Linked DNA regions of Ovis aries. The protein of the gene in region 1 interacts with the protein of each later gene in a pairwise test. Links are inferred from orthologs where the notes say so. Each region holds a gene or a part of one and is shown in the gene's direction. Other genes may lie near its edges.

What was found.
Region 2: the proteins of NUMBL (region 1) and SPSB3 interact in binary tests that used the Homo sapiens proteins (3 or more experiments, as listed by UniProt). The two-hybrid records come from large-scale screens. The link is inferred for Ovis aries from reciprocal best matches to the Homo sapiens genes NUMBL and SPSB3.

Annotation. Positions count from the first base shown.
Region 1 is NC_056067.1:49,380,524-49,384,270, reverse strand, and holds the start of NUMBL (numb-like protein), read left to right. Parts: upstream 1-1,287; 5' UTR 1,288-1,465; coding exon 1,466-1,489; intron 1,490-3,747. UniProt on the Homo sapiens protein: Plays a role in the process of neurogenesis. Required throughout embryonic neurogenesis to maintain neural progenitor cells, also called radial glial cells (RGCs), by allowing their daughter cells to choose progenitor over neuronal cell fate.
Region 2 is NC_056077.1:1,876,711-1,879,853, reverse strand, and holds the end of SPSB3 (SPRY domain-containing SOCS box protein 3), read left to right. Parts: exon of another isoform or gene 1-872; coding exon 873-1,047; exon of another isoform or gene 1,048-1,117; coding exon 1,118-1,305; coding exon of another isoform or gene 1,306-1,387; coding exon 1,388-1,688; exon of another isoform or gene 1,689-1,777; coding exon 1,778-2,097; 3' UTR 2,098-2,533; downstream 2,534-3,143. Other genes in the region: probable crossover junction endonuclease EME2, read right to left, coding at 3,033-3,143.

The DNA of each region.
Region 1 (3,747 bases):
CTGGGGGCCCACTTTGGATTTGGGACTAGGACACTCCCAGCTTCATACGCCCATGTCCTGCCCTCCCCACTCCAAAGGGAGCATCCGGGAATTCTACCCTGGTATTAATTTATTTCTGGAAACATTTGAGAGTCTTAGACCCCTCTGCACTGCCATCACGGAGATGCAGAGGCAGCTAGAGGGGGAGCCCCTCACCTCTGCCTCAGGTCCCCCATAGATGTCCGTGAAAGAGGAGGGGGTGGTGGTTGGTGGGGGCAGCCCTCACCTTTCCCTTGCTCACCCCTGCACCAGCTGCCTTCTCCCTGGTGGCATCCTCTCTGTGTGTTTGGGGAGGGCATGGTGGGGGGGTGAAACTTCAGACCTAATAAAAGTGACCCTCCCATTCCCCCAGTTCTTTTCTCTGCTACGGGGGATGGGGGGAGGTTGCAGGCTGCCTCCAGGTGCAGATGGCCAGCCCTCTCCCACCCTCTTGTCTGAAAGCCCCAGTCCTGCCTGGGCCATCTGTTGCCAGGAACCTCCTTCTCTCCTTTCCCTACCGCCCCCCCATCCTGCCCCTCCCGCACGTGCTGACCACCTGCTCTGAAGGCTGCAGCAGCTGAGAAGGCCTTCCTCCCCACCCCCCAGAACACATACACACACACACACCCCACCTCCCAGCCTCCTGGCTCCCTTCGCTCGCCTCCCAGCAACCTCGCTTTTTTGCTAATGGGCCTTAATGCCCCTGCCAGCTGCTTTGCCAAACCCGCAGGACTGGGCGGGAGCAGGGGCGCTTGGGCGGCCAGAAGCCGCTCCCCCGTCCCAGCCTGGTGCCCCCGCCCCCAAAGCTGAACCGACCGCGCACCAGGACGTCGGGGTCTGTTCACTCCCCTCCCCTTCCCAGCAAAAAGTGCCTCGTCACCGCTTCTGCCCGCCCCCGCTGGGCTGGGAGATCCGTGGGGTTAGCGGAAAGATTTGGGGATGTGGGGCGGCGAGGCGCCTCCCGAGGCAAATCTTTCGGACGCAGAACTTAAGGGGATCTGAGGTCAGGGGTCACGGAGGGGAAGGGAGCCCACGCCTGGATGGACCGAGAAGAACCAGTGTCCGCGAGATTCACGTGCGTGCTCAGCCCAGGACTGGCCAATGGGCGTGGCGGGGCGGTGGCCACACCGAAGAGGGCGGGGTCATATTTGCCTATAGGCAGGGCCTGCTGCTCAAGGGGCGGGGTCTCTCTGCATATCCAGCAGGCGGCGGGCCAATGGGCGGGGCTGGGGCGGGGAGCTGAAGCGGGAGGGGCGCTCCTCCGCCCCTGGAACGGAATCCTCCAGGGAGCGGAGCAGGCTACGGAGCGTGCATCCCGCACCAACCCCCGGCCCCCATCCCCGGCCCGCGTCAGACGGAGCTGCCGCCGCCGCCGCTAGAGCAGCAGCAGCACTCGGGGATCCGGGCCCAGCCGGGGCCGCGGGAGGCGGGGGCGCCCGAGCCCTGGATGTCCCGCAGCGCGGCGGCCAGAGTGAGAAGGGCGGGAGAAGGGGGCTCGGGTGGGGGGCGGCGCCGCTGCTGATGTGGCGGAGGGTGGGAGGCGGCCGCGGCACCCGGATGGAGAGGGTGCCAAGGCTGGAGAGGGTGGTCCTGGGTGGGGGGGTCCAGGAATACGCTCCGCTCCAAGCCAAATCTTGGGAGACAGAGGTCTGGGGCACAGGCCCTCTCTTGCCCAGGTTCTAAAGATAGGGATCCCAGAAAGAGATCTCCCCCTCCAAAAAAATCAAGGACAGGGGGACAGCTTCTAGGTACAACTTCCTAGGCAAGATTTTGGGGATGGGGTCTAAGACACAACCTCCTTAGGAAGCCAAGGCCTCTAGGAGGGGATTCCACACCAGACACAATCCTTACCCCTCCCTGCCTGAGGGGGTCTCTGAATACAACAACCCTCTAGGCAAGGTCTTGAGAATGGGGTCTCTGAGCACAGCTTCCCCACCAAGGCAAGGCCTGGGGGGATTCCAAGCACAGTCTGTCCCCAGGCCTCAGAGGCATCCCAGGCAGAGCATCGCCCCCACACTTGGGCGCTGTCCCAGGAACATCCCTTTCTCAAAACAAGGTCTCTGTGCCTGGGACCCCATCCCCCTCAAGTCTGAATAAAATAATGGGAATTTCAGGCAAACCCCACAAAAAAAAAAAAAGGCTTGGTCAAGGGTCCCAGGGCACAGGTCTTCTGGGCCACCCTCTTTGTCCCGGGGGCTGCCCAGCTGTCTGGGAGGGGCCCGACCCGCAGACAATCCACCGCTTCCCTCTTCAGTTCTGGCCCCCCAGGGTCCAGGATTCAGGCTGGGCCAGGGGGCGGCTCCCCAGGGACCTGGTACAGCCCTGTCTGTCTGCAGTGTCTGCCGTGCTGGTGACGGCGGCTTTGTGTGTGGTACCTGGGGGGAAGGGGGGGAAGCCAGTGATGGGGAGGTGGCTAAGAGTGTGACCCTGTGTTTTTGTGGCTGTGGCTGCCTGTGTGTGTCTGTGTGTGAGCTGCTGCTAGGGACTGTGAGGAATCGTGTGTGTGTGTTTCATGCTTGTGGTTGTGTCCGTTGGTGCCTGTGACTGTATTTGTGTATGACCCCAGCATTTGTGTGACTGTGTATGTATGTATGACAGCTGCTTGCTCCATGTGCAGAACCCTGTACTTTTCCTTCCGTCTCTGTTTGTGTGCGTAGTTGTGACTCTGGTTGTATCTTTGATGACATCTTTTGTGACCCTCACATATGTACCTTGGTAACTCTAACTGGGTATGTGACAGTATATCCGTTGAGTCTGGGGTTGGGCATGTGTATGGCTGACTGAAGATGTGGGTGGAGTTGTGACTGTAAGTGGAGTTGTGTCTATGACTCTGTCCATGTGCGGCTGTTCTAATGACTTCTGGTCTTTGTGGTTGTGTCTCTAGCTGATTTTATATGTGTGTCACACATGTGTTTGTGTGACATAACTGCCTGCAGTTTTGGGTGGATGACTGCCTTTGTATATGAAGTCACATTGTGCTTATGTGATAGGTTGTGTGCTGGCTGTGACTTATGTGTTTCTGTTCATAACCACATATATGCATGTGATCAGGGCTGTATAAATGACTACATTTAGGTCTGTGTGTTGATACTGATGGATTCCGCGCATTTGTAGCTGTGTATGTGTGATTCGGGTTATGTGTTTGACTTAAGAGTCTGAAACTCTATTAATAGTGAGTTATTTAATTGCATGTGACTCAGCCTATAGGTGTGTCTATGTGCCGGCCCCAGGTGATGGCGTGTGTTTGTGGGGTTGTGTGTATGAGACTGTGACTTCTGTATCTGTGTGTGGCCTGCATGTCTGTGACCCTGGGTGACTCTGCGTGTCTGTGTCTGTGTCACGGTCTGTAAGATTGTGGTCTGCTACACATCGTGTAGCAATGTGGCTGTTTGGGGTGGGTGCGTGTGTGTCCCTGCAGGCGTGCTAGGCTGCTTTGTTGAAGTTGCATGATTTGGTGACAGAGTGAATGTCTCCTGACAGCATACACGTCTCGATCCGGAACCATGTCTTCCGTGTAAATGTAGCTGTAAGTATTCCATCTAGGTGTGTGAAATGGAAATTGCATGCTGATGTTTCTGTGTGTGAGATATAGTGTGTCTGTCCACATGGGCTGTGATTATACATGGCCCTATACTTATCTGTGTGACTTCCGTGTTTGCAGGAAGAGAGACTGTTTTTCTGGGATGATGTGACAGTACAGCTGGGAGTCGGTGGATAACTGCAGTAGAT
Region 2 (3,143 bases), on another chromosome or scaffold:
AATAGGTCCACTGGACTGCTGTGCAGAGGGCATTTTGGGCCAGAGGGGCACCCAGAGGCCAGGAGAGTGAGGGCAGAGGCCTGAGCCTGACCAGGAGACCAGGCCAAGCTGGGAGAGTTCAGCGCAGGCACGTGGAAGCAGTCTGTGCCCTGGGCCCTCGCTGGCTGGCTGGGGTCTGGAGTCCAGGTGGGTGTTTGGAGGCACCCTAGCTGGCTTTCAGGGGGGTCTGGTCAGCTGGTCTCCGGAACCTGACCAGTTCAGCCTTGGCGTCTGGTGCTGGGCTGACATCGGGCCCCTAAGGCTTGGAGTCTGTCCTGTGAGGACTAAGCCCCCGTGCAGAGGGCCTGCGACCGCAGGGCTCCCTCAGCAGGGCCCTGTGATGGGGGTTGAGCTGCCCCGGGCACAGACGGGGAGCCACAGTCTGGGCCAGGTGTGCAGGCCCTGCCACGGCGATCGGGCCCCCAGAGCCCAGCTGCTGCTCCAGGGAGACCAAGCTGCCTTCGTTAGGTCAGTGATGGGCTTTGCCATGGGCTCCCCTGTGTATCCGTGACCTAGGGGCTCCTGACCTTGAGGGATGGCTGAGTGTGCAGCCCCGCCAGGGGCTGATAAGCCACCGGGCCTCCAGGGCTCTCAACTCCATTCCCAGGAAGCTTCCTCATGGTCGGCCTTTGAGGAGGAGGCCAGAAGAGGTGTCCGTGGTGGCAGCGGCTGGCTGTGTCCCGGGGCCGGGGTGGTCCCCTGGAGGCCAAGCCCCAGGTCTCTCCCTCGGGACGTCCGGCTGTTGAGCCATGGGCCTGCAGCGGGGCAGGCGGGTGGAGGGTGGCTGGGCCGGTACCGGCAGGTTGGGCGGCGACATCTCCTATGTCCTTCAGCACAGTGACTCAGACTCTGACCCTGAGTGCGCGTCCCTGCCGTCGTCCATCCCCAGCGCCGTGCCCGTGACCGGGGAGTCCTTCTGCGACTGTGAGAGCCAGAGCGAGGCCTTCTGCGGCAGCCTGCACGCCGCCCACCGGGGCCGGGACTGCCGCTGCGGCGAGGAGGACGAGTGTGAGTGCCGGGCGTGGTGGGCGGTGCTCCGGGTGGGCCGGGGCTCAGCTGGGGCCTCTCGCTCTCGCAGATTTTGACTGGGTCTGGGATGACCTGAACAAGTCCTCGGCCACCCTACTGAGCTGTGACAACCGGAAGGTCAGCTTCCACATGGAGTACAGCTGTGGCACGGCCGCCATCCGGGGCACCAAGGAGCTGGGGGAGGGCCAGCACTTCTGGGAGATCAAGATGACGTCGCCCGTCTACGGCACGGACATGGTGAGTGGCTGGTGGGGCCAGGAGGTGGGGGTGCTGCCAGGCGCCTCGGTCCCCTGCCCCCTCTGCCCGCTCCCGTTCCCAGATGGTGGGCATTGGGACGTCGGACGTGGACCTGGACAAGTACCACCACACATTCTGCAGCCTGCTCGGCCGGGACGAGGACAGCTGGGGCCTCTCCTACACAGGTGCGCAGGGCCCGGGTGGGCGGGGCTGGGGCCCCCAGGCTGTGGGGCTCAGCCCGACCCTGCTGCCCCCAGGCCTCCTCCACCACAAGGGCGACAAGACGAGCTTCTCCTCGAGGTTCGGCCAGGGCTCCATCATCGGCGTGCACCTGGACAGCTGGCACGGGACGCTGACCTTTTTCAAGAACAGGAAGTGCATAGGTGAGGCCGGGACCTATGTGGCCCCAGGGAGCAGGGCCAGAGCCCCCGGGGGGCTGAGTGCCCTGAGGCTGTTCCTCCCCCCGCCCCAGGCGTGGCGGCCACGCAGCTGCAGAACAAGAGGTTCTACCCGATGGTGTGCTCCACGGCGGCCAAGAGCAGCATGAAGGTGATCCGCTCGTGCGCCAGCGTCACCTCCCTGCAGTACCTGTGCTGCTACCGCCTGCGCCAGCTGCGGCCCGGCTCGGGGGACACGCTTGAGGGCCTGCCCCTGCCGCCCGGCCTCAAGCAGGTGCTGCACCACAAGCTGGGCTGGGTCCTGAGCATGAGCCGCCAGCCCCCCGAGCCCTCGCCCGCGGCCAGCGGCCCAGAGCCCCGGCGCTGCCAGCGGAAGCGCTGCCGAAGGACCTAGCCTGCTCCCTGATCGAGACCCCCGGGGCTGGGACGGCGTGGTCCCCGCCCCTGCCTGTGGACTGCCCCAGGGCCGCCGAGGGGAGGACCGAGCCGAGGTTTGTCCCGCTGCCCCTCTGCTGCCTGAGGCTGGGGCGGGCCTCGCCACAGGGGCTCCCAGCCGTTAGCCCTGTGACCCCAAGACCCAGCCTGTCTGCTCCGGTGCTGGGCATGAGAACAGCTGCCGCCCCAGCGCGTCTGGGTTCAGGTCTGGGGGGCTGGCAGGGAAGGGGCTGGGGGCCTATGGGCTGCTGCCTGTGAGGAGGACGCAACTTGAGAGGTGGGCTCTCCCTGGCACCACCGGCCTCACGTTTTTCTTAACTTGCTTTGCATGTTGTCAGCTCTGTTCCTCCTGTCTGGGGCTGAAAGCAACCATAATAAACTCGAAGTCTGATGTCCACCTGCCTATAGAATGAAGTGGGTCAAAGTGAGGCCTGGGGCTCACAGGTGTCCGTGCTTGTCTCCTCTTGGGGCCTCACGGTACCCTGGGGAGAGGTAGCCTGGTTCTCTCCTCCCTCTAAACCTTGTCTTAAAAATGAAGGTACTTCCCCCCCAACCTCCCGGTGATGGGAGTTTCCCCGGTGGGATCCGAGGCCCCTGCAGCCCTTCCTGCTGGTGCCAGCTGTCTACCAGCCCCTCGGCCAGTGTGCATGCTCAGGGCACGTGAGCCCCACCCCAAACCGTCTCTAGACCTTCCGCAGGCGAGAGAAGAATTTTCTTCTCCCAGTTATGCAAGATTTCTCTCTGCCGTCCCCTCATCCCCCAGCTTGGGGTCAGACCTGACTAAGCCCCGGGTTCGGGGCGCACCACCCCCTGTGGTTTCCCACGGGTCCTCTGGGAGGCTGTGTTCACTCCTGCCTGCAGGCGGGGGACGCCCTGTGCAACCCACGGGCCTGCTCAGGAGCCCAGGTCCAGCAGGAGGTCGGGGTCAGTGGTGGTCAGGAAGAGGCAGATGCGGCGGGAGAGGTCGGGCCCCACCCTGCGGGGTGGCGCTCTCTTGCCCGTCTT